Anolis sagrei: one gene and its partners. The protein of the gene in region 2 purifies or fractionates together with the protein of the main gene of each other region. This does not show direct contact. Links are inferred from orthologs where the notes say so. Each region holds a gene or a part of one and is shown on either strand. Other genes may lie near its edges.

Region 1 (7,209 bases), on a different chromosome or scaffold from region 2:
AGGCAAAGCAGAGCAATGGAATACCACGTCTGAAGCTATGGAATACCTTTATTATCTGCAGTCTCTTCTAATGCAAAGTTGTCTGGGAATCCTTCAACATAGGTAGTGGCCAATTGTTCTGCTTCAATAGATTGTCCCTTCATCTTTTGAAGCCTTTCATGTACAGCACTAGTTAAGTCCATATAGGCCTCATCAATGCTGGCTCGCTCAATCACAGCAAAGCGAGACATGACTTCCATCACTTCCACGCTTGCCTCTCGGTACCTATATCAGATAGGCACAAAATGATCCTTTAATATTCCTGTTGCACATTCTCTTACAATTGGATTATTATTAAGCAGTCAACCACTAGAAAATGAGATATATATGTGTGTGTGTGTGTGTGTGTTAGAGCTTCAATACTCTCCAAAACGACAGCACTTTCCCCTCATCAACTGCCAAGTATACTAAGATAATGAATAAGGATTGAATAAACTAGAATAAGTCCAATACACTATTTAAAAGAACACACTGGGAGATAAATTTTTGAATCCTAGGATATTGCTCAGTTAAAGCCAGACAACATGCATTATATCCTAGTTATGAATAACAGCTAAACATGCTTCGTAAAAACCACCTCATACTCAGAGCACGAAAGAGCAGCATTGATCAACTTCCTTCTCAAACTAGTTTTTACTCCAGATTATTTCACAATCCACATCAGATTTATTTATATTTATCGTGTCAGAAATGAACTGAGAATATAGTTATAATGTATAAAAAAACCCACAAAGTTAAAAACTTAGCATTATACTAAATTTCCTTTGACCAGAAGCTGGGCACTTCCAGTGACTCAGGTGTCACTTTAAGAAGGTCCTCCACTGTGCATGTAGCAGGCTCAGACTGACTGAATTGTAGTAAGTGGCCTGTGTTTGCTCTTCTCCACGCTCGCATGGCAATGCACTCCACTTAGTAGCCCCATTTCTTAAGACTGGCTTTGCATCTCATGGTGCCAGAGCGCAAGTCTGTTCAGTGTCTTCCAAGTCGCCCAATCTTCTGTCTGCACAGGAGGAAGTTTCTCATTTGGTCAGCCACTGATTGAGGTTCTGGGTTTTTACCTGTGACTTTTGTACTCTTGCTTGCTGAGGTGTTACTGCAAGTACCTCTATAAATCTTAGGAAGCTATTTCTTGATTTAAGGCTTGGCATGCTGGCTGATATCCGAACAGAGAATGGGCCAGAGATGTCATTGCCTTGGTCCTTTCATTACAGGCTGCTACCTAAGTTAATACCATCCAAGAGAAGCTATAACAACTAGACTTACCTGGTGAGGTCTGCTTTACCATGGGCCTCTGGCACTCGAGCCACCAGGAGATCTGGGCACAGCTTCTTGGCATCAACAGCCCACATGTTCCTGGTAACTCCAAAAGCACGTGCTTCATAGCTCACAGCAATTATTCTGAATTTGACACAGAAAGAAAAGGGGATGCAGCAACTACTGGGTTTTATGCCCTCCCACACTGCCACCCCCTTTCCTTGTGTATCAGTATTAGACTGTCAGCCTAAGGGCTGAGTACTGTCAAACAAATGCCCCATGAGGAGCTTCTGGGGGAAGTGAAGCCTGGATAAATGAAGGTTACTCCAGAATACAGGAGCAGAATTCAAAACGATCTTAACAGATTAGAGAGATGGGCCAAAACTAACAAAATGAAGCTCAACAAGATACAAGATACTCCACTTAGGAAGAAAAAATGAAATGCAATGATACAGAATGGGGGACGCGTGGCTTGAGAGCAGTACGTTGACAAGAAATGTTGACAAGCTGGAATGTGTTCAGAGGACGACGACTAAAATGATCAGGGGTCTGGAGAACAAGCCCTATGAGGAGTGGCTTAAAGAGCTGGGTATGTTTAGCCTGAAGAAGAGAAGGCTGAGAGGAGACATGACGGCCATGTATAAATATATAAGGGAAGTCATAGGGAGAAGGGAGCAAACTAGGACGTGGAACAATGGCTTCAAACTACAAGAAACTACCTTAACATGAGGAATAACTTCCTGTGAGAGTTGTCCAACTGTGGAACTCCCTGCCGTGAAGTGTGGTGGAGGCTCTTGTTTTGGGAGCTTTTAAACTGAGGCTGGATGGCCATCTGTCAGGGGTGCTTCGGATGTAATTTTCCTGCTTCTTGGCAGGGGGTTGGACTGGATGGCCCATGAAGTCTCTTCCAACTCTAGGATTCTATGATGTTGTTGTTCATTCGTTCAGTCGTCTCCGACGCTTCGTGACCTCATGGACCAGCCCACACCAGAGCTCCCTGTCGGCCGTCACCACCCCCAGCTCCTTCAAGGTCAGTCCAGTCACTTCAAGGATGCCATCCATCCATCTTGCCCTTGGATTCTATGATAGTCGTGTTTAAATATGTGAAAAGGATACCCTATTGGAGATTGGTTTCCACTGCTCCAGAGACTAAGGGTGTATCTGCTATGGATTCTTATGAGTTTTTGATGAAAATACGTTCAAAGCAGTCTTGACAGATGGCCATTCAATCTCTGCTTATAAACCTCCAGAGGACACTCCACCAAACTCAGAGGCAGCATATTCCACTGCCAAACAGCTCCTACCTAGGAGCTTTAAATTAGGCATGGGCCGACTTGGGCCCTCCCTCCAGGTGTTTTGGACTTCAACTTCCACAATTCCTAACAGCCGGTAGGCTGTTAGGAATTGTGGGAGTTGAAGTCCAAAACACCTGGAGGGAGGGCCCAAGTCGGCCCATGCCTGCTCCCATTGCCCAAGGGAGCCGAGGCACGTACCCGCCGCCCTTCCAGGTCTTGTACTGGGCCACGACGCAGGGCTTCCCGCGCAGACTGGGCTGCAGGCGCTGCTCCACTTGGATGTAGAAGCAATCCATGTCGGCCAGCGCCACCACCCGCTCCCGCCCGCGAGACATCCTCAGGAAAAGATTCAGAAAGTTCCTTCAGTGAGTGGAATTCCCGCCTTCTTTCTCCTCAGAGGCGGAAGGGAGGGAAGAAAAGGAAGTGACGCAACGCGCAGGTTGCAGCGTGGCTCCGCACGCTCTTGGAACGCAAGGAGAGAAACGGATCAAGGCGTCGCTGCAATGCCTGCTGGGAAATGGAGTCTTGAAGGGACATGTCAGGGTTCCACCACGCTGTAGTCGAGGAACTGTGATGACGTCATATTGGTTTCTTTCGTGACGCAGATATTCTTCGCCAAACTGTCTACATACAACATAAACATAGGAAAGTGGGAAGAAGACAAGCGATTCTTGCTGATTCTACAACGAAGAAGCAATGCAGTCTTTAACTCCCGGGGCTTAATGCTTTAGACTCGTGGGAGCTATAGTTTCCCAAGAGAGATCTGGATTCCAAAGGATTGGACCATGGGAAGGTCTTTGCACACAGCCATATAGCCCAAAATATCACGGCAGATAATCCACAATATTGGTTTGGACTGGATTATCTGAGTCCACACTGCAATATAATCCAATTCAATGTGGATTTTATACAGCTGTGTGGAAGATGTCGGAGTTCAAGTCATATCAAACTCTATTAATTCCACAGTGTAGGTTTATTTATTATTTATTTATTTACAACATTTCTATGCCGCCCTTTTCACCCGAAGGGGACTCAGGGTGGCTTACAAGTTATTTTATTTATTTATTTAGAGTTTTTATAACCCGGTCTTCTCAACCTCCGAGGAGGGACTCAGGCCGGCTAACAACATAAGATTCAATACAATAAGAAAAAACAGTATACATCATCAATATAAAATACATTAAAATACAATTCATACAATTCGTACAAGTTACAAAAAAGTTAGTTCGTCACAGTGAATCACAAATTCATCGCCATCCACCAGAAAGGTCAGCAGTTATTGACTCAGTCATCATTCTGCAAATGCATTATCCCAAAGCCATGTTTTTACCAGCTTTCTAAAAGTCAGGAGGGAAAAGGCAGATTTAATCTCCATCGGGAGGGAGTTCCAGAGCCGAGGGGCCACCACCGAAAAGGCCCTGTCCCTCGTTCCCACCAAACATGATTGCGAAGGAGGTGGGACCGAGAGCAGGGCCCCTCCAGAAGATCTTAACAACCTTGATGGTTCATAGGGGAGAAGCCATTCGGACAGATAAATAGGGCCGGAGCTGTTTAGGGATTAATATATGTACATACAATATATTATTAGCATCACACAATATTAGTATTATATATTACTATATTACACTATACCACTATACTGTAATATTAGTAACATTACATGTAATATGGAATATAAAATTATTAAATTGTATTATTAATAGTATTATATTGTATTACATTATACTATCAATATTATATGAGTATAAAATATTTATTTATTATTTATTAAAAACATTTATATTCCGCCCTTCTCACGCCAAAGGGGACTCAGGGCAGAGCACGACATATACACAGCAAATATTCAATGCTAGGACACAAATTCACATACAATACAATACAATGCTTAATAATCCAATTGTAAGAGAATATGCAATGGGAATATTAAAGGATCATTTTGTGCCTATCTGATATAGGTACCGAGAGGCAAGCGTGAAGGGAGTTCCATAGCCGGGGAGCAATCACCGAAAAGACCCTGTCTCTCGTCCCCACCAATCGTGCCTGTGACAATGGCGGGACGGAAAGCAGGGCCTCCCTGGAGGATCTTAATCTCCATGATGGTTCATAGGTTCATATATGATATTATTAGCACAGCACAATATTAGTATTATATATTACTATATTGTATTATACCACTGTACTATAATAATATTATTAGTAATATTATATGTAATATCTATATATATATAAATGCTCTGTGCATAATGAGTACCTTAAAAATAAAAGAACCAATGAACGAAATCACACCAAATTTGGCAACAAAATGTCTCACAACACAAGGAGTGACCATCACTCAAAAATTATAATTTTGTCATTTGGGAGTTGTAGTTGCTGGGATTTATAGTTCACCTATAATCAAAGAGCATTCTGAACTCCACCAACGATGGAATTGAACCAAACTTGGCACACAGGACTCCCCTGACCAACAGAAAACACTAGAAGGGTTGGTGGGCATTGGCCTTGGGTTTTGGAGTTGGAGGTCACCTACATCTTGAGAGCACTGTGGACTCAAACAATGATGGATCTGGACCAAACTTGGCACGAATACTGAAGACGCCCAAATATAAACACAGATAGAGTTTGGGGGAAATAGACCTTGACATTTGGGAGTTGTAGTTACTGGGATTTATAGTTCCCCTACAATCAAGGAGCATTCTGAACCCCACCAACGACAGAATTGGGGCAAACTTCCCACACAGAATCCTCATGACCAACAGAAAATACTGTTTTCTGGTGGTCTTTGGTGACCTTTATGACACCCCCTTGGTGACCCCCCTCCGGGGTCTTGATTTCCCAGGTTGAGAAATGCTGCCTTAAGGCCATCCATTCCAACTCCCTTCACCAGGGCAAGAAAACATAATCATAGCTCTCCTGACAAAGGGCCATCCAGCCATTCCCACACACACACACATATGTATATGACAGATGCAGTATCATAGATTTGAAAGGGACCCCTAAAGAAGGACAATGATATGTTGCATATTCCAGAGTTGGCAAACCAGACAATCTCCACATCAACACTGACAAAGAAACAGGAAGAAATACTGTTTACCCACAAGCAGAACGACATTACATATATTATAAACCAACACTTTCTCGTTACTTTATTTTCCAGATCAACAGACTGGGCCACAGCAACGCGTGGCAGGGGACCGCTAGTAAAATATATAATTATTATATTGTATTATTATTAGATGTAGTTGTATAGTGGAATAGTGGTATCCACGCTTTGACTTTGGCCTTGAAACCCCGTGGAGCTATTGCCACGACCTCTCTCTGGTGGTCGCAACTTGTAACTGCAGCTCTTTGCTCCAAATTTCTGACCGCATTCCAAAGGCCGCCTCCAGTCCAAAATAATGTAGACAGGACCCGGAAGCTCCGTGTCATCAACGGAGTGAGGCATTCTACTGGGCTAATTCTACGTTTCTAACTCAGAGCCGTCCAAGTTGTGGACGGTGCTTTGCGCAGGCTCAGTGGAGACAGTTTGGCTGCTGGCGCCTGCGCAGTGCTGCCTTTGGGCTTGTGTACCCGGCGCGGTGTGGCTCTCGGGTTCTCCCCCCCTGTGCCTGGTTGCCCGGGGCAACGGGGCCTACTTTCTCCTTCTTCTTGCCTCCCCCCGGATAGAGCCCCTCTCCTCGCCGCCATGTCTTGGGACCCCGTGAACACCCTCTGCGAGCAGCTGGTGAAGGCGGTCACGGTGATGATGGACCCGGCCTCCACGCAGCGGTACCGCCTGGAGGCCCTCAAGGTAGGGAAGGCCATCGAGATGCAGCAGATCTCCTCGCAGCTGCCTCCAGGCCCAAATAGTTCCCGTATCCCCGGCGCGAGTTCGAGCCCGCCCCGCAGGCCTCCAAGTGTCGGGTCGCCCCGTCCGTCCCCACGCCACCTTCACGTGTCCGCCTGGTTGAGTTTGCTGCAAGCTTGTTTGAGGGCTTCTGCAAGGGAGAAGGCGCCCCTCTTGCTTTGAAGGGACCCGGGGCCCGTCTGCACTGTGGGATGAATGCAGTTTGGCACCGAAATTCGTCAGCAGTTTCTTTTACCAGCTTCCACTTTTATTATGGCTTCTATTTTGTCTCCAGACTTGGATACAAGTCTGGTCAATGTTTATATATGATTTATATTAATTGTATTGTATTTTTTGTTTTTGTTTATTGCTTTTTGTTTTATTGATGTGTTGTTGGGCTTGGCCTCATGTAAGCTGCTCCGAGTCCCTTGGGGAGATGGTGGCGGGGTATAAATAAAGTATTATTATTATTATTATTATTATTTGTGATTTTTAGAAATAATGCTTTGAAGTAGCATATTTATATATATTTGTTGTGTGAGAAGCAAATTGAGAATGCAGGTATAATGTATTTAAAGCCACAAAGATTAAAACTTGGAATTATACTAAATTTCCTTTGGCCAGTATCTGGCCACTTGGAGTGCCTCTGGTGTTGCTGTGAGAAGGTACTCCACTGTGCATGTGGCAGGGCTCAGGCTGCATGGTAGTAAGTGGTAGTAAGTGGCCTGTGGTTTTATTCTTCTCCACACTCGCATGTCGAGGACTCCACTTTCTATCCCCAGCATCTCGTGGTGCCAG
Region 2 (6,923 bases):
GTAAATACAAAGCTCTGCCCTTGAGAAGGCCAAGATCATTGCCCCCAAGGTGAGTTAACAGCACATCAGGTGCAGGACCGCCTCCAGCCCGGACAACAAAGGGATCAAACCATCCCACCTGAGGCCTCTTTTGCCACTCCATTCAACAAAAGCAAAGGCAGCCATGCCCTGATGCTGCCGCTCGGTCCAATAGATAAAGCTGTGGCCACAAATCAACACCCTTCTTCTATGGACCAGCAAACCTCCATCTGAAAAGACAAAACACTGTTATAATAAGGCAACAGGGCGGACGTACCCTTTGTAGGCACCCGACCTCCATCTCCCCGGGCTTTTGATCCTGTCCTGATCCAAACTCATGTAGGCAGCCATGAAGGTAGCTCGCATATGAAAGGAAAAAGTTGCACAATAAAGGTGTCCCAGCCCCAACAATTTAAGGATTTTTAGAGTTTTGACCAAACTTTATAATATTGTCAGTGGGCAACTGCCCCGATGAATAAACAGGCATCCTAGCGAGCTGCCTAGGACTGCAATAAACTGAATAATAATGACCCTAAAAGGGGCAAATATCACCATCACAAGCGGTACCAAGGAAAATACTTAGCCCCGTGCTCCCAGATCTGTTTTAGATGACCCGAAGAGGATCCGTAATTGCTGCTCAGTAATGCAAATGTCAGACAACATCAGTGTTTTTGCGATAAATCACTTTACTGACTCTGGAATAAGCCCGCTTATTCAACCCGCTTTTATATATATATATATATATATATATATATATATATATATATATATATATCTCCACCACAATTAGTCTCCTTGTAATCGAAATAAGCAAGAACCCAGACCAATATTGAAAGGTGTAAATGGTCAACCACACCGCACCAGCAATTATTGCTCCCTTCACATTGGCCTGTCACTACAGCACTATTATTGATCTAACCACATCTGCCTGTCATTTCATCCCATGTATGTAACACAGTATCTATCGATCTACCCACATCACCCTGTCATTTCGCTACACATTTATCTACTATGTATGTATATAAACCACCATACATATTGATCTACTTATAACTGCATGTTTTACCATTCCCATAAGTAGCACCTATCAATGTACCCACATTGTCCTGCGTTATTATTATTAATATTGATAGTAATATCTTGCTAAACCTTAGCATAATTGACATTACCCTTTGCCATATCACGTCCCGTCTATATATATATCCATGTATATATATATATATATATATCTATATCTATATCTATATCTTTATACATATAGTGTAGAATCTTTATCACCTATCTATACATAACTCTTTCTCTCTCTCTCTCTCTCTCTCTCTCTCTATATATATATATATATATATATAAAGTATTAAATTACACAGATATACCGGACCCTAAGATGGCTGCCTGCCATGCTAGGCACAAAATGGATGCCCCCTTAAAGGATGCCCCCTCCATCTTTGAAGGAGAGGGAAAGTTTCTTCCCTGGGCAGAGGGAAATGTCCAGGAAGCAAGGTTGATATTTAGAGGACTTAGGTGGTTGTTCCAAAGACAATGGATGTACGGGCATGAAGACAACAGGATTATATAAATGCAGAGTGTAGGATACCAGGGACAATGGGTGATGATCTCTCAATTCTGTTCACAAGCTGGCCAAATAAAGAAATATCCAAGGGCATGGCTGGTTTACATCAACGGCTAGTTCCCAGACTGTGCACAGGAAGCTTATCTGCTGGGTGTGTATGTCCATAATACCTGGGTGCTTTGTCATGCCCATGGTGTAGCATGACATGCTTCTGATGAAGACATTGAGAGAACTGTGAGATGCTGGTTGCGGAAACAGAGCGTTGACTTCTTCTGTGACAGCTTCAGAAAACTTGTTTATTGTTGGCAGAAATGTATCCAATTGTCTGGTTATTATGTGGAAAAGTTAATAGTGGTAGTTAAAGAGCACATTCTAAGGATTAAAATATTCCTATCCAAACCCAAGTGATGAAGGTGGAGGCATTACTTTTCATTCAACCCTCATACATTTAATAGAAGAGGCTGCAATAATGTTTCTCTTTTGGATAGTTAGTTGCTGCACACATATACATCTCTGGATCAGTTGATATTGTGCATGATTAAATGAAATCCTGATGGACCCCTTTGTCTAGGACAGTGGTTCTCAACCTGTGGGTCCCCAGGTGTTTTGGCCTATAACTCCCGAGAAATCCCAGTTTACCAGCTGTTGGGATTGCTCTTTGATTGTTAGTGAATTATAAATCCCAGGAACTACAACTCCCAAATATCAAGATTCTATTTTCCCCAAACTCCACCAGTGTTCACATTTGGGCATATTGAGTATTCGTGTAGAGTTTGGTCCAGATCCATCATTGTTTGAGTTCACAGTGATCTCTGGATGTAGGTGAACTACAACTCCAAAACCAAAGGGCACTTGTCCAGCAAACCCTTCCAGTATTTTCTGTTGATCATGGGAGAACTGTGCGCCAAGTTTGGTTCAATTCCATCGTTGGTGGGGTTCAGAATGCTCTTTGATTGTAGATGAACTATAAATCCCAGCAACTACAACTCCCAAATGACAAAATCAATTTTTTTGAGTGAAGGACATGCATTGGGTTGTTAGGTATCTTGTGTCCAAATTTGGTGTCAGGTCATCCAGTGGTTTTTGAGTTCTTTTAATCCCACAAACGAACATTACATTTTTTATTTATATAGATAGAAGATTGTCTTGTTAATTTTATGTTTATGTTGTTTACTTTGTATGTTTTGATGATGTTACTTGGAAACCGCTCTGAGTCCCCTCGGGGAGACAGAAAGGTATATAAATAAAGTTTTGTTGTTGTTGTTATATATTCATACAAATAAACAGATAAGTCTTTCAGGATCTGAAATTTAGGGAGGTACCTATACTATAGAATCAATGCAGTTTGACACCACTTAAATGCAAGATACTCCACTTTGGCAGGAAAAACGAAATGCAAAGATACAAAATGGGGGACGATGCCTGGCTCGAGAGCAGTACGTGTGAAAAAGATCTTGGAGTCCTCCTCGTGGACAACAAGTTAAACATGAGCCAACAATGTGATGTGGCGGCAAAAAAAGCCAATGGGATTTTGGCCTGCATTAATAGGAGCATAGTGTCTAGATCTAGGGAAGTAATGCTGCCCCTCTATTCTGCTTTGGTTAGACCACTCCTGGAATATTGTGTCCAATTCTGGGCACCACAATTCAAGAGGGATATTGACAAGCTGGAGTGTGTCCAGAGGAGGGCGACTAAAATGATCAAGAGTCTGGAGAACAAGCCCTATGAGGAGTGGCTTAAGGAGCTGGGCATGTTTAGCCTGAAGAAGAGGAGGCTGAGAGGGGATATGATAGCCATGTATAAATATGTGAGAGGAAGCCACAGGGAGGAGGGAGCGAACTTGTTTTCTGCTTCCTTGGAGACTAGGACGCAATGGATCAGTGGCTTCAAACTACAAGAGAGGAGATTCCATCTGAACACGAGGAAGAACTTCCTGACTGTGAGAGCCGTTCAGCAGTGAAACTCTCTGCCCCGGAAGCTTCTTTGGAAGCTTTTAAACAGAGGCTGGATGGCCATCTGTCAGGGGTGATTTGAATGCAACATTCCTGCTTCTTGGTTGGACTGGATGGCCCAGGAGGTCTCTTCCAACTCTTTGCTATGACTCTATAACTGCCCTGCTCAATGTTATTGAATCAAGAGAGTTGTAATTGGGCACCAGCACCTTTTGCCAAGGAAAGTTCAAGACCTTGCAAAACTATACCTCCCAGGATTCCAGAGTCCCTCCTTCCACTCTCGCTTTGATTCCAAGGAACTACATTACCCAGCAGCCTCTGCGGCGGGGCGGGAAGTGGCGTCTGCCTGGAGCCACGTGTCCTCCCTCCCGCGGGGAAGCCTCTGAGCGCGGGCGATTTGGAGCCCGGTGGGCGGGGAGAGGGCGGTTGGGCCATGTCTTCCTTCCCAGCAGGGTCGGCCTGGCCCCAGAGCCTTGGCCCACTGAAAGTAAGTAAGTGGGAGCACGGAGGGAGGTGGCTGCGGGACTGGGGGCGCCCCTTGTACAATGGACAGAGCTGATCGCAGCACTACATAGAGACCCCAGGTTCCAGAAGCATTCTCTCCTGACGTTTCACCCACATCGATGGCAGGCATCCTCAGAGGTTACTGGGTCTGTTGCAAACTAGGCAAGTGAGGTTTATATATCCGTGGAGTGTCTAGGGTGGGAAACATAACTCTTGTCTGTTTCGGGCAAGTGTGAATATTAAAATTGACCACCTTGATTAGCACTGAATGACTCTGCAGCTTCAAAGTCTGGCTGGTTACTGCCTGGGGAAGGGATCCAGCTAACAACTCCCAATAAAGGATTCCCCCAGGCAGCAATCAGCCAGGCTTTGAAGCTGCAAGGCCATTAAATGGTAATCAAGGTGGCCAATTTCAACATTCATACTTGCCTCAAACAGACAAGAGTTATTTTTCCCACCCTAGACACTAAACTTCACTTGCCTAGTTTTCAACACACCTCACAACCTCTGAAGATGCCTGCCATAGATGTGGGCAAAATGTCAGGAGAGAATGCTTCATATTTTTTGTTTGTCTTGATTTTACATGCTGCCCGCTGCATTGAATCCTTAAGCACCCCCGGCAGATGTCCATCCAGCCTCTGCTTAAGAATCTCCACCTCATTCTGAGCGCCATATCCCACAGCTGAACAGCTCCTACTGTGTTTCAGTGCAAAAGGAGGCTTCAGAACATGTGCAGAATGCTTTCCTCTCTCCGCTGTAGTCATTGCTCATGTTTGGGGTCAGATCATGCCTGGGCAAACTTGGTTCCTCCAGGTGTTTTGGACTTTGACTCCCTCAATTCCCAACAGACCACTATGAACCCTACCAATGTCGGATCAGGACCCTACTTGGCACACAGAGCCCCCATGACCCACTGCACATCTTGGTGCGGTTTGAACCACGGATGATGGGACTTGCAGTACCTTCACTCACTTCTATGGGCCACTGCGACCCTCACAAATGACAGACCTGGACCAAACTTGGCACACAGAAGGCCCATGACCCTGGGGAAGTATGAGGGAGGACGGTCCACGTATGATGGGATTTGCAGTACCTTCACCCTATTCAGCTTCAACAAACCACTACGATCCCCACAAATGACTGTTAGGAATTGAAGTCCAAAACACCTGGAGGGCCCAAGTTTGCCCAGACATAGTATAGATCTGTGAGCATTGCATTACAACTCTGGGAACTAGCAATGGAAACTCACAGGGTTGCTTTGGATAAGTTTGAGAAGCACTGCTTATGGAAACTCTAAGGTGAACTTACCACAGGGTTTTCTGACGCAAAGGGTGTGTGACTTGACTTTGGTTCACCCAGACGGAGAGGAGATTTGAACCCTGGTCTCCAGAGTCATAGTCCAACACTCAAACCACTACACCAGGCTGATTCTCATTTATATAAATACTAGCCATCCCGTGCCACGCGTTGCTCTGGCCCAGTCTGTGTATATGTGCTTTGTGTGTGTATATATTTGTGTCTATGCGTATTTTTGTGTGTGTGTGTTTATATATGTGGTTTTCCACATGCATTGTAATGTATTTTTTTATTTTTTGGTTTTTTAAGTCTCTTGCTGTGTTTTTCAGTGTTTTTATGAGTGACGGTCACTTGTTGGCCTGATACGTGTATTGTGTCCGAATTTTGTGTTAGTTCGTCCAGTGATTTTTTAGTTATGTTAATCCCACAAACGAATATTACATTTTTATTTATAGAGATGTATTACATACGTATTTGTAAAGCACTTTGGGGCTTGGCCTGGGAGATACATATATAAATATACTATATAAATATACTAGTGATGTCCGGGTTAGGTCTTTTTAATGCTATTTATAAGAAATAGTCATTGTTTGCTTTTTAAATGAATGCTCTGATTAGAAACTGCATAAGGATGTGGGTTTCTATACCTGTAACTCCCAAAGTTCAAGGTAAATTCCCGCCAAACTCTGCCAATATTCAAAGCTGGCCATGTTGGGTTTACGTGCCAAGTTTGGTCCAAATCCATAGTCTGTTGGGTTCATAGTGTTCTCTGGATGTTGGTGAGCTATAGCTCTTGGCTTCCAGGGTCAATTCCCCTCCAAACTTTGCCAGTATTCCAAGTTGGTAATACTTCATATGTGTGCCGTGTTTGATTGAGATCCATCATCGGTTGGTTTCACAGTGCTCTCTGGATTTGGGTGAACTGTAACTCCCAACTTCATGGGTCAATTCCCCCCAAACCCTGCTAGTATTCAGAGTTGGCCATGATCCATCTTCAGTTGGGTTAAGAGTGCTGTTGATTGTTGGTGAACTACAACTCTCAACATCAGAGATCAATTCCTCCCAAACACCATAAGTATTTAAAGTTGGTTATTGGGAGGGTCTTTGTGTCTGGTTTGGTTCAGATCCATCATTGGTGGGGGCTACAATGCTCTCTGGAAGTGGGAGCCATCTTGGAAATTGCTCACAATCATAGATAGATAAATAAATAAATAAATAGATAGAGCCACCCATCCAAGCATATTTTCCCTTTTATTGTAGATACAGATATATAGATACATGTTATTCTTCTTTATAATGTTTATTTATACTCCATTTTTCTCTCTCTCCACAAGGAGACTCATATATACATACAAACAGATAAATGAATGAATAAAGTAATGAATGGATGGTGCTGGATCTACACTGCCATATAATGCAGTTTGAATCTGCATTATATGGTCAGTGTACAGTCATATAATGTAGTTTAACTGCACTGAACTGCTGTTGTTCATTCGTTCAGTCGCTTTCAACTCTTCGTGACCTCATGGACCAGCCCACGCCAGAGCTCCCTGTCGGCTGTGGCCATCCCCAGCTCCTTCAAG
Region 3 (6,964 bases), on a different chromosome or scaffold from region 2:
ATGACTGCGTGGAGCGCCGTTACCTTCCCGCTGGAGCAGTACCTATTGATCTACTCACATTTGCATGTTTTCAAACTGCTAGATTGGCAGAAGTTGGGGCTGAAAGCGGAAGCTCACGCCGCTCCCCGGATTCAAACCTACGACCTTTCAGTCAACAAGCTCAGCAGCTCAGTGGTTTAACCCACTGCACCACCGGGGCTCCAACACCTATTCCTTGCCAATTCTTATAGGTTCCTGTGTCCTATCCTAACTAATATTTGAAGGCAAACATTGTTATATTACCTTTTTCTAATATCAAAGTGCATAGGGATCAAGGACCTTATTTGAAAAATCCTGAAAATATGATTCTACTCTTAGAACAAAGTCACAAGGAGGTTGTGGATGGAAATTTAGATTATGAATCCTGATAATGTTGCGGCTGATAGGAGAGATAATACCAAGAGCGATCCTTTTGAGAGGCAGAAAAGTACGTTTTTATTTTCAGCTGAGACCCTGGTATGGAATCTCCTCCAAGAGCAAACCTGAGTGAGGATAAAGGCATTGACTTCCCTTTCATACATCTTCAAATGCAGGCAAACAAAGAAACGTGCTTCTACATATGTAACATCATCACTACATCACCTTAAGCATCATAGAAATATCAATTTATATCTTTTTACATGCATGGGGCATCTCAGTTTTTTCTATCTAAGGAGCAGCTTACAGCAAATTAGAGATACTAGGGTTCAGCTACAGATCCATCAAGGTGCCTTCTTTTGACCTTACAGGAGGGAGAGAAACAGCACCACTTCTTACTTTTTAGAAGTAAGAAGGTACAGCCAGTGCTAAGCTGTACCAGTTTCTGGAATGTATAGATAATGACCCCCCTTTTCCTCCCCTTTCAACACAGATCTACGTCAGCATTCTTTCTGTGCTGTCAGCTTGACTTCCTAATACAGAGAACTTGATTTTTCTACATTTCAGTGTTTCTAATGTACATAAAATATATGTATAAATATCTATATTTCCAATATCTCCACATCAGTGAGACTAATGAAACAGTTACAGACTAGGTAGCTAACCTCACAAAGCATGGATATATAACTGGGATTGGAAGAGGCCATATAAATGTAGAAACAGAGTTGGGAGAGACCACATGGGCCATCCAGTCCAATCCCCTGCCAAGCAGGAAAAGAACAATCAAAGCACACCTGACAGATGGCCATCCAGCCTCTTTTAAAAGCCTCCAAAGAAGGAGCCTCCACCACACTCCAAGGCAGGGATTTCACTGTTGAACAGCTCTTATAGTCAGGAAGTTCTTCCTAATGTTTCAGCTGAATATCCTTTCCTGTAATTTGCACCCATTGCTCCATTGAGTCAGTCTCCAGGGCAGCAGCAAACAAGCCTGCTCCCTCTTTCTTGTGACATCCATTCAGATATTTAAACATGGCTATCATGCCTCCTCTCGAACTTCTCTTCTGGATGCTAAACATGTCCAACTCTTTAAGCCGCTCCTTGTATGGATTCATGGTCTCCAGCTGACTGGCACAACCTAGGGATCACAATCAGATACAGTGAAGACATCTCCCTTGCACTTTGCTACTCTGCTGCTGAGTATGCATGCCCAGTGTGGAACACATCTCACCATAATAAAACAGTAAATGTGGCTCTTAATGAGACATGCTGCATTATCACAGGGTGTCTGTGCCCTACACCACTGGAGAAATTACAGTGTTTAGCTGGTATTGCACCACCTGACATCTGCTGGGAAGTAGCAACCAGTAGTGAAAGGACCAAAGCATTGATATCTCCGGCCCATCCCATTTGGATATCAGCCAGCACGCCAACGACTTAAATCAAGAAATAGTTTTCTAAGATCTACAGAGACACTCGCTGGAACACCTCAGCAAGCAAGAGTCCAAAAGTGGCAGGCACAAACCCAGAACCTCAATCAATGGCTGATACCAAATGAGAGACTCCCCCCTGGGCACACAAAAAACTGGGCAACTTGGAAGGCGCTCTGGCACCACGAGATGCAGAGCCAACCTTAAGAAATGGGGCCATAAAGTGGAGTCCACGACATGCGAGTGTGGAGAAGAGCAAACCACAGACCACCTACTACAATGTAACCTGAGCCCTGCCACATGCACAATGGAGGACCTTCTTGCAGCAACACCAGAGGCACTCCAAGTGGCCAGCTACTGGTCAAAGGACATTTAATAGAATGCCAAGTTTGCAAACTTTGTGGTTTTTTGAAAAAATACAACTGTTTGGTTCGCTCCTGAGACACGATAAATAAACAACAGGAGTTGAGGTTTTTTTACAATGTCTGTAGCCTTCCCTGCCAGAGAATGTTGTGTCTTGTTGTTGTTCATTCGTTCAGTGGTTTCTGACTCCTCGTGACTTCATGGGCCAGTCCACGCCAGAGCTTCCTGTCGGTCGTCACCACCCCCAGCTCCTTCAAGGTCAAGCTAGTCACTTCAAGGACACCATCCATCCATCTTGCCCTTGGTCGGCCCCTCTTCCTTTTTCCTTCCATTTTCCCCAGCATCAGTCTTCTCTAAGCTTTCCTTTCTTCTCATGATGTGGCCAAAGTACTTCATCTTGGCCTCTACTATTCTTCCCTCCAATGAGCAGTCAGGCTTTATTTCCTGAAGTAAGGACTGGTTGGATCTTCTTGCTGTCCAAGGCACTCTCAGAACTTTTCTCCAACACCACAGTTCAATTCTCAGGATTCCACCTCATTTTTATTTGTCGTGTCAGGACAACCAGTCAAATTATATTACATTTCTAACAGAACAAAGCAAACAAACAGACAAAATACAAAATGTGTGAGTTTGGTAGTTGATTAAATGTCCTTTGACCAGTAGCTGGCCACTTGGAGTGCTTCTGGTGTTGCTGCAAGAAGGTCCTCCATTGTGCATGTGGCAGGGCTCAGGTTGCATTGCAGCAGGTGGTCAGTGGTTTGCTCCTCTCCACACTCGCATGTCAAGGATTCCACTTTGTAGCCCCATTTCTGAAGGTTGGCTCTGCATCTCCTGGTGCCAGAGTGCAGCCTGTTTGGTGCCTTCCAAGTCGCCCAGTCTTCTGTGTGCCCAGGGGGGAGTCTCTCATTTGGTATCAGCCATTGGTTGAGGTCCTGGGTTTGAGCCTGCCATTTTTGGACTCTTGCTTGCTGAGGTGTTCCAGCGAGTGTCTCTGTAGATCTTAGAAAACTATTTCTAGATTTAAGTCATTGAGGTGCTGGCTGATACCCAAACAGGGAATGAGCTGGAGATGTCTCTGCCTTGGTCCTTTCACTATTGGCTGCCACTTCCCGGCGCATGTCAGGTGGTGCGATACCAGCTAGACTGTGTAATTTCTCCAGTGGTGTAGGGCGCAGACACCCCGTGATAATGTGGCATGTCTCATTAAGAGCCACATCCACTGTTTTAGTGTGGTGAGATGTGTCTGGGCATGCATACTCAGCAGCATGCATACTGAGTTGGAACACCTCACTTGCTGAGGTGTTCCAGCGAGTGTCTCTGTAGATCTTAGAAAATCTAGATTTAAGTGGTTGACGTGCTGGCTGATACCCAAACAGGGGATGAGCTGGAGATGTCTCTGCCTTGGTCCTTTCATTGAGCCTTGGCAGTTAAAGTGGCGTCAAACTGCATTAACACTCCAAGTCAGATGTGCCTGCTTCAGCCGTTATTCCAACAGCTTTTAAAAGGCTCATCCTCCGCGCGCTTTCCAGCCAGCCAATCAGAAGCGACGCGAGCCGAAGGCGCCAAGGAGCGGCCTTTTGAAGCCAATTCCCTTTCCTCCCTCTTCTGAGGGAAAAACAGGACGGCTTGAGGTCACAAGACAGGAGGCTCTGAACCGCCTCTGCGCCAACAACCAATAGGAACAGCGCTTCTGTTTCTACTCCCGCCTCAAGTGGTGACATCAGCCTATAGAAAAGAAGCCCTCCCCTGAGCGCAACCAATAGCGGCCCTTCTTCCTTCCGAAGCCCTTTGCTCCGCTCCTTTGCGCGATGGAGTGCGGAAGGCGCGGGGGTTTCGTTTCCTCTCAGCCGGAACCCTGAGGTTTCCTCAAAAGGCGGCGACGTCGGGGGCTATGACGCAGAATCTTAGCAACGGCGCCGGCGAGGGGGGAAAGGGCAGCGACCCTGACCGCTCTCCCCTGAGCACCGCCGGGCGCCATTGCCGAACGGCGGGCCGAGAAGGCAAGGCTGGCAGGTAAACACAAGAGGTGTGGTTTCCCATGCAACGCCCTTGTTTGCACAATCTAGGCAGCCTTTCCTCACTTTTGTACCACTTTGAACTGCCAGGGAAGCTTGCTAGGCGATCCTAGGGCCTGTAGTTTGGGGATCAGCTTTCTCTGGCAGAGAAGGCTGAAGAGCATCCGAAACTACAACTCCCATTATTCCATAGCATTAAGCCATGGCAGTAAAAGTGGTGTCAAAGTGTATTCTAAATTACAAACCTCAGCTGTTGATGCAGCCACGCAAAGCAAAGGTTAGTCTTCTCTGCCAGGAAGCTCTGCTGTAATTCCATGGTTCAAAGTCGTGCCAAATCACAGTAGACTCTCAGTTAACTGGAACTCTCAAGCAACAGGAAACCTCTACGTCCCACCTTGGAGTCTAAGATCTTCTGGGGAGGCGCTGCTCTCGACCCCGCCTCTATCACAAGTGAGGTTGGCAGGGACAAGGAGCAGGGGCTTCTCGGTGGTGGCCCCCCGCCTGTGGAATTCACTCCCCGGGGAAATTAGATCAGCGACATGCCTCCTGTCCTTTAGGAAAAAATTGAAAACATGGATTTGGGACCAGGCATTAGGACAATCTGGCAGATAAAGAAAGGACTTTGACGATGGACAGGAATTGACTAATGGAATGGAATTATGGAACTCTGAAAGACGAACGCTGAGCATGAGATTAGTTTTATTGATGTGTTATATACCGACTGTTTTAACTGTGATAATTGTTTTAACTATGGTTTTGTACATTATGTGTATTTTGTGTAGGCATCGAATTGTGCCTTTTTGTAAGCCGCCCTGAGTCCCCCCTCGGGGGTTGAGAAGGGTGGGGTAGAAGTACTTTAAATAAATAAATAAATAAATATGGCTTGTTGTAGGTTTTTTCGGGCTATACGGCCATGTTCTAGAGGCATTCTCTTCTGACGTTTCACCTGCATCCTCAGAGGTAGTGAGGTACCTCTGAGGATGCTTGCCATAAATGCAGGCAAAACGTCAGAAGAGAATGCCTCTAGAACATGGCCATACCTCTGAGGATGCTTGCCATAGATGCAGGCGAAACGTCAGGAGAGAATGCCTCTAGAACATGGCCATATAGCCCGAAAAAACCTACAACAACCCAGTGATTCCAGCCATGAAAGCTTTCGACAATAACAGGAAACTATCTTTATCCAGCATCTACCTATTGTTGAGAGCCCCCGGTGGCGCAGCAGATTAAACTGCTTTTTGTGTGTGTGCCAGGAGCGATCCGAGAAACCGCACGTAGCTTCTGGTGTGAGAGAATTGGCCGTCTGCAAGGATGTTGCATAGGAGACTCCAAGATGTTTTACCATCCTTGTGGGAGGCTTCTCTCATGTCCCAACATGGGGAGCTGGAGTTGACAGAGGGAGCTCATCCGCGTTCTCCCAGGATTTGAACCTGTGGCCTGTCGGTCTTCAGTCCTGCTGACACAAGGGTTTAACTCACTGTGCCACCACTGAGCTGCTGAACTTGCTGACCGAAAGTTTGGCGGTTCGAATCCAGGGAGTGGAGTGAGCTCCTGTTGCTAGCCCCAGCTTCTGCCAACCTACCAGTTCGAAAACATGTAAGTGCTCCATGCAGTCATGCCGGCCACATGACCTTGACGCGTCTATTGACAATGCTGGCTCTTTGGCTTAAAAACTGAGATGAGCACCACCCTCCAGAATCAGACACGACTGGACTTAATGCCAGGGGAAAACTTTACATTTTCACCAATTGTTATTAACTTTTTATATCATGGTTTCCCTGAAAATAAGACACTGTCTTGTATTTATTTTTCCTCAAGACACACTATGGCTCATTTTCAGGGTATGTCTTATTTTTTATTAAATACTAGCCATCCCCTGCCACGCATTGCTGTGGCCCTGTCTGTTGATCTGGAAAATAAAGTAATGAGAAAGTGTTGGTTTCTAATATATGTAATTTCTTTATGCTTGTGGGTAAACAGTATTTCTTGCTGTTTCTTTGTCAGTGTTGATGTGGAGAGTGTCTGGTTTGCCCACCCTGGAACATGCAACATATCATTGTCCTTCTTCAGGAGTCTCTTTCAAATCTCTGATACTATATCTGTGTGTGTGTGAATCATATCTATCTACCTATCTATGGCTGGATGGCTCTTCGTCAGGAGGACTTTGATTACGTTTTCTTGCCCTGATGAAGGGAGTTGGATTGGATGGCCTTAAGTATTTTCTGTTGGTCATGAGGGTTCTGTGTGAGAAGTTTGCCCCGATTCTGTCGTTTGTGGGGTTCAGCATGCTCTTTGATTGTAGGTGAACTGTGAATCCCAGTGACTACAACTCCCAAATGTCAAGGTCTATTTCCCCCAAACTCCATCTGTGTTCATATTTGGACGTATCGAGTGCTTGTGCCAAGTTTGGTCCAGATCCATTATTGTTTGAGTCCACGGTGCTCTCTGGATGTAGGTGAACTACAAGTCCCAAACTCAAGGTCAATGCCCACCAAAACCTTCCAGTATTTTCTGTTGGTCATGGGAGTTCTGTGTGCCAAGTTTGGTTCAATTCCATCGTTGATGGAGTTCAGAATGCTCTTTGATTGTAGGTGAACTATAAATCCCAGCAACTACAACTCCCAAATGACAAAATCATAATTTTTTGAGTGATGGTCACTCTTTGTGTTGTGACACATTTTGTTGTCAAATTTGGTGTGATTTCATTCATTGGTTCTTTTGTTTTTATGGTAGTCATTATGCACAGAGCATTTTTATATATAT
Region 4 (7,853 bases), about 200 Mb from region 2:
GGCTATTTTTGGCCTTACTAACCTTGCATACCTTGTATCTTCTACCTTTTACGGAGCAATAAGGATCTTTGGACTGTATTAAAAATGTTGTTGTGTTATCGAACTACTCTTCATGATTTGCTAAAAAAAAGTTTCAACCCTCCCCGATTTTTTTTTTCTGGCTATGGCCCTACCCATGAGGTCTCTTCCAACTCTGTTTGTTGTTCATTCGTTCAGTCCTCTCTGACTCTTCGTAACCTCATGGACCAGCCCACGCCAGAGCTCCCTGTCGGCCGTCACCACCCCCTGCTCCTTCAAGGTCAGTCCAGTCACTTCAAGGATGCCATCCATCCATCTTGTCCTTGGTCGGCCCCTCTTCCTTTTGCCTTCCACTTTCCCCAGCATAATTGTCTTCTTAGGCTTTGCTGTCTCCTCATGATGTGGCCAAAGTACTTCAACTTTGTCTCTAGTATCCTTCCCTCCAATGAGCAGCCTGGCTTTATTTCCTGGAGGATGGACTGGTTGGATCTTCTCGCAGTCCAAGGCACTCTCTAAACTTTCCTCCAACACCACAGCTCAAAAGCATCGATCTTCCTTCGCTCAGCCTTTCCTAAGGTTCAGCTCTCACATCCGTAGGTTACTACAGGGAATACCATGGCTTTGACTAGGCGGATCTTTGTTGCCAGTCTGATGTCTCTACTCTTTACTATTTTATCGAGACTGGACATTGCTCTCCTCCCAAGAAGTAAGCGTTTCCTGATTTCCTGGCCGCAGTCTGCGTCTGCAGTAATCTTTGCACCTAGAAATACAAAGTCTGTCATGGCCTCCACATTTTCTCCCTCTATTTTCCAGTTGTCAATCATTCTTGTTGCCATAATCTTGGTTTTTTTAATGTTTATGTGGAGCATAATACAAGAAGGAGGGAGAACAGGAAATGTGGCAGCACCCTTAAATCTAACTTGATTTTATTTTAGCACGATCTTTTGTGAATACAAACCTATTCCTTCCGCTGTACTCAGGGCCGTAGCCAGAAAAAAAATTCGGGATGGGTTGAAATTTTTGGGGGAGGGAAGTTGAAAATTTTGCGGGGGGTGTATGTGTTGAAACCTGCCTTCTAGCTCACGCTGAAGCAAAGAGCACAACAGGGGCAGAGCAGCCTTCAATAGCCTGCAGCTCCGCCCCTGTCAACCATCTCCACCAAGTCTGGCCTCCTTAATGAGAGCATTCAACACACACACAACCAACTTGGTTGCTTCACTACATCGGCTATTCCTGCAAGTAATGACAGTGTGAATAAATTGTCAATATTTAAGGCCTTGCATGGTCTGGGGCCGATGTACCTGAGGGACCGCCTCACCCCCTACCAACCCCAGAGATCCGTCCGTTCTGAGGACCATGATCTATTGGAAATTCCCAGTGTCAAGACCTTGTGTCTAACAGCAACCAGACGCAGAGCCTTTACAGCAGTGGCACCATCACTCTGGAATACTCTGCCACCTGAAGTCCGTGCCTTGCGGGACTTATCAGCTTTCCGCAGGGCATGTAAGACATATCTGTTTCGACGGGACTTTGATCTCTGATATTGCTGTTTTTAAATTGTTTTAAATTGTTTTTCAATTGTGTTTGATTTTAGCCTGTTCTTGTAAGCCGCTCCGAACCCCAGGGGAGTGGCGGCATATAAGTTAGAATAACTTGGCCACAGTAGTCCACGCTCTGGTTACATCCCGTTTAGACTACTGCAACGCTCTCTACGTGGGGTTGCCTTTGAAGACAGCTCGGAAGCTCCAACTAGTCCAACGCTCGGCAGCCATGATTTTAACAGGAGCGGAGCGCAGGGAACATACAACCCCCCTGTTGTGCCAACTCCACTGGCTACCGATCTGCTACTGGGCTGAATTCAAAGTGCTGGCGTTGGCCTTTAAAGCCCTAAATGGTTCGGGCCCAAGCTACCTATCCGACCGCATCTCTGCCTATGAACCCACCAGGACTTTGAGATCTTCCAGGGAGACCCTGCTCTTGATCCCGCCTGCTTCTCAAGCTCGGCTGGCGGGGACGAGAGATAGGGCCTTCTTGGTGGTGGCTCATCGGCTGTGGAACGCCCTTCCTACGGACATTAGACTAGCACCATCTCTAATGGTATTCCGCAAAAAAGTGAAGACCTGGCTGTTTGAGCAGGCGTTCCAATAATTAGTGCAATGATTGGTTAATGAACATTGGAATGGAACAATGGATGACGAATCTGGAACATGTTTTTGATGACGAGACGACAGTGAATGGGTATTGTAGTAACTGTTTATTAATTGTGTAATGTGTTAGGTTGTTAACTGTTTCTATACTGTAGCACTGAATTTTTGCTGTTCGTATTTGTTGTGAACCGCTGTGAGTTGCCTTCGGGCTGAGAACAGCAGTATATAAGTAAGGTAAATAAATAAATAAGGTAAATAATAAATAAATATTGGCTTGAGATAGTGTTTGCAGTTCTGGAGGGACTCTTAATTTTTTTGCATCTCATAGACTTAGCATGCGGATTTGGTTAACCAGTTAAAATTCATGAGTAAACTGGGTTTTTAAAAAAAAAAAAAATCTGAAACATTTCGGGAGGGGGGGGGTTGAACCCCTAACCCCCCCCCCATCCCCCCCTCGCTACAGGCCTGGCTGTACTACAGAATAATATGGAAGCCAGGTTCTGTATATATAAGGGACGCTATTGTACTCTTCGTCTACACCAGGCATGGGCCAACTTGGGCCCTCTCTCCGGGTGTTTTGGACTTCATCTGCCACCATTCCGAACAGCCACAAGCCCTTTCCTTTTGCTCCATATCAATGAAAGGAGTGCCATGCTGCATCCCTGCTGTAGCGTAGCCCTAAGCCAGGCCAAGAGGCCCTCTCCCAAGCGCAACCCGAAAGCCAGCAAAACGCACATGCCCAGCTCCGCGCCTTTTACCTTCTTAGGAGGACCACCTCGCCCGGCTCTTCTCTCCCTCTCTCTCTCTTCCTCTCTCTCCCTTTCCCGCTTCCGCGTCCTCCTGGTTGGCGGGCTCGGGGAGATGAAGCCCCGCCCCCGGAAGTGGAGCCCAGGACTTCCGGCCCGTTGTCAGCGACGCCGGCCGGTCTCCGTGGCGCCCGAGTGAGAAGGGAGCGGGCGCGGCCTAGTGGGTAAGTGGCACCCGAGGGAGGAGGAACGGGGGACGCCAAGGGGAGACCTCAGCTTCCACCGCCATGGCTCCAGGCTGTACAGTCACGGGAGTTGTAGTTTGACAAGGCCTCCCGCCTTCTCTGCCCCAAAGTCTTGCCGCCTCACACAACTGCAACTCCCAGGAATCCCTGGCCTCGAGTGGGTGTTGATTCTCCAGCGCTGGAGCTTCTCTACGGGGGCTTACTATTATTATTATTATTATCATTATTATTTTACTGACACAAAAATAACAGTATGTCACAGCAAACGAGATCTATATGCTGGATTTCGTGTCACAAAATCACAAGTCAAATACTTCCCAAGCGGCTAGGACTGTGTGATGTATTATTATTATTATTATTATTATTATTATTATTCCTTCATTATTATTGTTGTTATTATTATTACTATTATTATTATTATTAGAAACACAATAAGATGAGTCCACAGCAAACAAGATCACTCTGCTGGCTGTTGTATTGGATCACATGTCGGACACCTCCCAAGTGTCTCGGACTGTGTGATGTATTATTATTATTATTATACCATTATTATTATTATTATTATTATTATTATTATTAGAAACACAATAAGATGAGTCCACATATCATGTCAGCTTTTCCAGTTGTTTCTCTTCAATCCTGCTGTCGCCTGGGATTGCGACATCAACGATTCATACTTTGTTTTTTAACAGGATTTTGAGGTCAGGAGTAGTGTGCTCCAAAACTCTGTCTGAATATGAAAGTCCCAGAGGAGTTTGATGTGTTCATTCTCTGTAACTTTTTCTGGCTTGTGATCCCACCAGTTTTTTGTCGCAGGCAGATGGTGTTTGTGGCACAGGTTGCAATGAATCATCTGAGCAACGGTGTTGTGCCTCTGCTTGTAGTCGGTCTGCACAATCTTCTTGCAGCAGCTGAGGATGTGATCTACTGTTTCATCTGCTTCCTTGCAGAGTCTACATTTGGGATCTGTCATAGACTTTTCAATCCTGGCTTTGATGGCATTTGTTCTAATGGTCGCTATTATTATTATTATTATTATTATTATTATTATTATTCTGTCGTGAAGCATTTACACCAAGCATGGGCAAACTTTCACCCTCTAGATGTTTTGGATTTCAACTCACACAATTTCACAATCTGCCCATTCCTGCTTGAGAATGAATGCTGTTTGACACCACTTTTAACTGCCATGGGTCAATACAATGGGAGTTGTAGTTTGGTGTGGCATGGTGTGGCAGAGAAAACTCAAGACTTTATTTATTTACTACATTTTTATCCCTGCTCTATCTCAACCCCAGAGGAGACTCAGAACCCTTCCACACAGCCATATAACCTAGAATATCTGCTTTGAACTGAGTTATCTTAGTCCACACTGTCCTATATCCCAGTTCAAAGCAGATAATGTTGAGTTTTATTCAGTTCTGTGGAAGGGGCTTCAGAGCAGCTTCCAAATTGGCAATATTCAGTGCCGCATTACAACATAAAACATACAAATACATTGTGCATTAAAATAATAAAAAAATCATAAAACAATGCATATAAATACATTAAATAATCTGGAATGACCTGGTCTACGAGTTTGGATCATGTGATTTTAATGTTTTTATTAGGTGTTTTCAATTTTTATACTTTGTGCTTGAATGTCCTATTATCTTACGGCAAATTTGTTGTATTGCATTTTATGCTTAGGCATATGCTGTTCGATTTATGATTTGGTTTATGTATGTAAGGCATTGAATTTTGCCATTATTTTTTGTAAACTGCTTTGAGTCCCCCCAGGGGTGAGAAAAGTGTTATATAAATACTGTAAATCTATATAAATAAAAATGTAATGTCCGTTTGTGGGATTAACATAACTCAAAAACCATTGGACAGATTGACACCAAATGTGGATACAACACACCTATCAGGCCAACAAGTGACCATCACTCATAAAAAGGCCTTTAAAGTTTCCTCCACCTAAATAGGATTTCACTTTTTTAATAATCAGAACTATATGTCGAGGGCGGGGGGGGGGGGGGGGGGGAATCAGGAATTTAGATGCTTAGGTGGGACAGGGGCAAAACAAGGTTGGGAGCCACTGCCCTAATAGGTAACATAAGGGGAACTAATGCAATAAGATATAACAGGACAAAACAATGTATATTGTTTTAAAGGTTTGTTTATGTACTATGTGATTGTTTACAATGTTTATATGTTGAGAGTGGTTGATTTTGTATTGTATTTTAAAATGTTGGAAACAACATTGGGTCTTCATTGTGGGAGAAAAGCAACATATAAATAAAGGTTATTATTATCATTATTATAACTGGCGTACTTTTTCAAATTTCCTGGGCATTCACTGCTACTCTCTTTGGAAGTCAGCTGAAGTTATTGTGGCCACTCAGTTGTTGCATTGTGTATTTTCAATTCCTGAGTAAATCCCATTGAGTTTAAAGGAGATTATGTCTAAGTATAGACTTGTGCTGAGAGCCATAAAGGGGACACAAAGCTGTGACTTCTCAGTGGTACTGCTCTACTAGTAGCAAAAGTGCTAATTATAGATCTTGTACAAGTCAAGTATCCCTTATCAGAAATGCTTGGATATTTTGGATCCCCTCATTGGAATACTTATACTTCCATATTTTTACATAATAATAAGTTGTTTTGTAGATAGGATTTAAGTCTAAAACACAAAATTAATGTGTGCTTCATGCACACATCGTGTAAGGTACAGTCATCTCTCTGTATCCACAGATTCAGTCATCCATGACTTGAAAGCAGCCCCCCCCCTTTTTTTGTTTTTGTTTTTGTAAAGCAAACCTTGATTTTACCATATTATATACAGGAAAGCATTTCATTACATGAATGTGTTTAATGGGACTTGAGCATACATGGGTTTGGGGGGTGGGGGCAAGGTGCATATCCACTCCAGTGGATATGAAGGACCCACTGCAATTTTATACTACATTTTTAGTAATACTGTGCATGAAATGAGGTGTGTTTATGTTGAATAATCAGAAAGCAAATGTGTCACTATGTCAGCTATCCATGTGGGGAATTTTGAATATTGGACTCAATTAATTGACACCTATGAAGATTGGTAGCACTGAATAAATATGGTTTCTGGTTGCTTGAGAGTTACTATTAAAATAGGCCTGATACTATATACAATATTATACGACACTATAAACTCAGTGTTGACATGATATTAATATTGAAATACAGTAATTAGAAACAAGGTAAGACAAAGGCAAACTTATTTTAAGGTAACACACTTTTACTTAATTATAAAAACAGCTTTGTGAATGCAGTATGCAATTTTAATTAAATGGCAGTCAAACTTTTGCTATTTGGGAGTTCTAGTTGCTTCCGTTAATTAACAGAGAGTCTACTGAGTTTGGGATTCCAGATAGGGAATGCTCAACTGTTTAACACTTTAGCCAGGTGACTGCTTCTTGGACTGCTCACAGGGATCCTTTTAGAAGAATCTAATGCTCCAAATGATGATGGTCTTGCTACTATATTTACTGCACTTATTATTGGCTTGGTTTGACAGAACAGTTCTGACTTGTGATTGTGGATGTGATGCAGTAAAAAAAACATGATTGTGCACACATGATGATACATGTTCTCTATTTTGGGGATGGAAAGTAGCACTGCAGTTCTTAGGGTTGGAGCCAAAGTTGAAGTACTTTGGCCACATCATAAGAAAACAGGAGAAGACAATGATGCTGGGGAAAATGGAAGGAAAATGAAAGAGGGGCCGGCGAATGGCAAAATGGATGGATGGTATCCTTGAAGTGGCTTGACTGTGAAGGAGCTGAGGATGGTGATGGCCGACAGGGAGCTCTGGTGTGGACTGGTCCATGAGGTCACAAAGAGTCGGAAGTGACTGAATGGATAAACAAAAGTGCTTACATGGTGATAAATATCAAAGATGACACCCAACAGTTTGTGGAAGAATTTTTGGAGGCTGTGGAGCAAATGCTCTTTGCCTATTCAAACACAGTAAATCATCAATCAACATAACTTGAGAAATAAAATTATTAACATAACAATTCACTGATTTCATTTAAAAAATAAACTTTCTATGATCTATGTATAATGTCTTTTTGTAAAAATAGTTAAACTTTCATCCTATGATAAAGTTCATTTTAGTTCTTCAGAGTCATGCTTCATTGCAGAATTCATACAGAACTAGACCTATAGAATAGGAAAGTTAATTTCAGGAGTTCTAAACAAATTCCGAAAGTTTTAGACAGTGGCCATATACAGTGGCCTCTCCACACCTATTGAATTTTGCATTTGGTATGTGTATGAAGGAGTAGTATGAAATTCTCTTATGAGAAACAAGTGTTTCTTTGCTTTGTGTTCATAAGAAAAAGAGGGATGGTGGTGGGCTGCTATAGCTGTCCACAGGCCACAGTAGAAGTCAGCCTAAAACGTTTGTTTCAGAATTTCCATAGTCAGAGAAGGATGCAAACAAAAAACCAGGTGCTCAAAAAAAGCATTCTTAATCACAATGCATGTTGTTGTTGTTTTAAATAGAGATGTGTGAGAGAAATTCAGGTGATGGAACAAGAGAAAATTTACGAAAGTTAATGTGTGGAAGCTTCTTGACATCACTAGCTGAAATCATATCTTAAAACTTCTGTTCCTGGTGGGCTGTGTGCCTTAGATAACATACTTCCTGGGAGAAACAATAATCTCTAATC

Evidence for each region.
Region 1: the proteins of RAD18 (region 2) and POLH purify together in Homo sapiens (affinity purification with western blotting; 7 studies listed by BioGRID, with this or other methods). This does not show direct contact. The link is inferred for Anolis sagrei from reciprocal best matches to the Homo sapiens genes RAD18 and POLH.
Region 3: the proteins of RAD18 (region 2) and SLF2 purify together in Homo sapiens (affinity purification with mass spectrometry; 3 studies listed by BioGRID and IntAct, with this or other methods). This does not show direct contact. The link is inferred for Anolis sagrei from reciprocal best matches to the Homo sapiens genes RAD18 and SLF2.
Region 4: the proteins of RAD18 (region 2) and SLF1 purify together in Homo sapiens (affinity purification with mass spectrometry; 4 studies listed by BioGRID and IntAct, with this or other methods). This does not show direct contact. The link is inferred for Anolis sagrei from reciprocal best matches to the Homo sapiens genes RAD18 and SLF1.

Annotation. Positions count from the first base shown.
Region 1 is NC_090021.1:49,690,858-49,698,066, forward strand, and holds the start of POLH (DNA polymerase eta), read right to left. Parts: upstream 3,016-7,209; 5' UTR 2,924-3,015; coding exon 2,787-2,923; intron 1,438-2,786; coding exon 1,303-1,437; intron 265-1,302; coding exon 47-264; intron 1-46. Other genes in the region: XPO5 (exportin-5), read left to right, coding at 6,271-6,375. UniProt on the Homo sapiens protein: DNA polymerase specifically involved in the DNA repair by translesion synthesis (TLS). Due to low processivity on both damaged and normal DNA, cooperates with the heterotetrameric (REV3L, REV7, POLD2 and POLD3) POLZ complex for complete bypass of DNA lesions.
Region 2 is NC_090022.1:49,336,084-49,343,006, reverse strand, and holds the start of RAD18 (E3 ubiquitin-protein ligase RAD18), read left to right. Parts: upstream 1-3,901; 5' UTR 3,902-3,973; coding exon 3,974-4,027; intron 4,028-6,923. UniProt on the Homo sapiens protein: E3 ubiquitin-protein ligase involved in postreplication repair of UV-damaged DNA. Postreplication repair functions in gap-filling of a daughter strand on replication of damaged DNA.
Region 3 is NC_090023.1:215,161,734-215,168,697, forward strand, and holds the start of SLF2 (SMC5-SMC6 complex localization factor protein 2), read left to right. Parts: upstream 1-3,946; 5' UTR 3,947-4,077; coding exon 4,078-4,199; intron 4,200-6,964. UniProt on the Homo sapiens protein: Plays a role in the DNA damage response (DDR) pathway by regulating postreplication repair of UV-damaged DNA and genomic stability maintenance.
Region 4 is NC_090022.1:253,906,445-253,914,297, forward strand, and holds the start of SLF1 (SMC5-SMC6 complex localization factor protein 1), read right to left. Parts: upstream 3,009-7,853; 5' UTR 2,924-3,008; intron 1-2,923. UniProt on the Homo sapiens protein: Plays a role in the DNA damage response (DDR) pathway by regulating postreplication repair of UV-damaged DNA and genomic stability maintenance.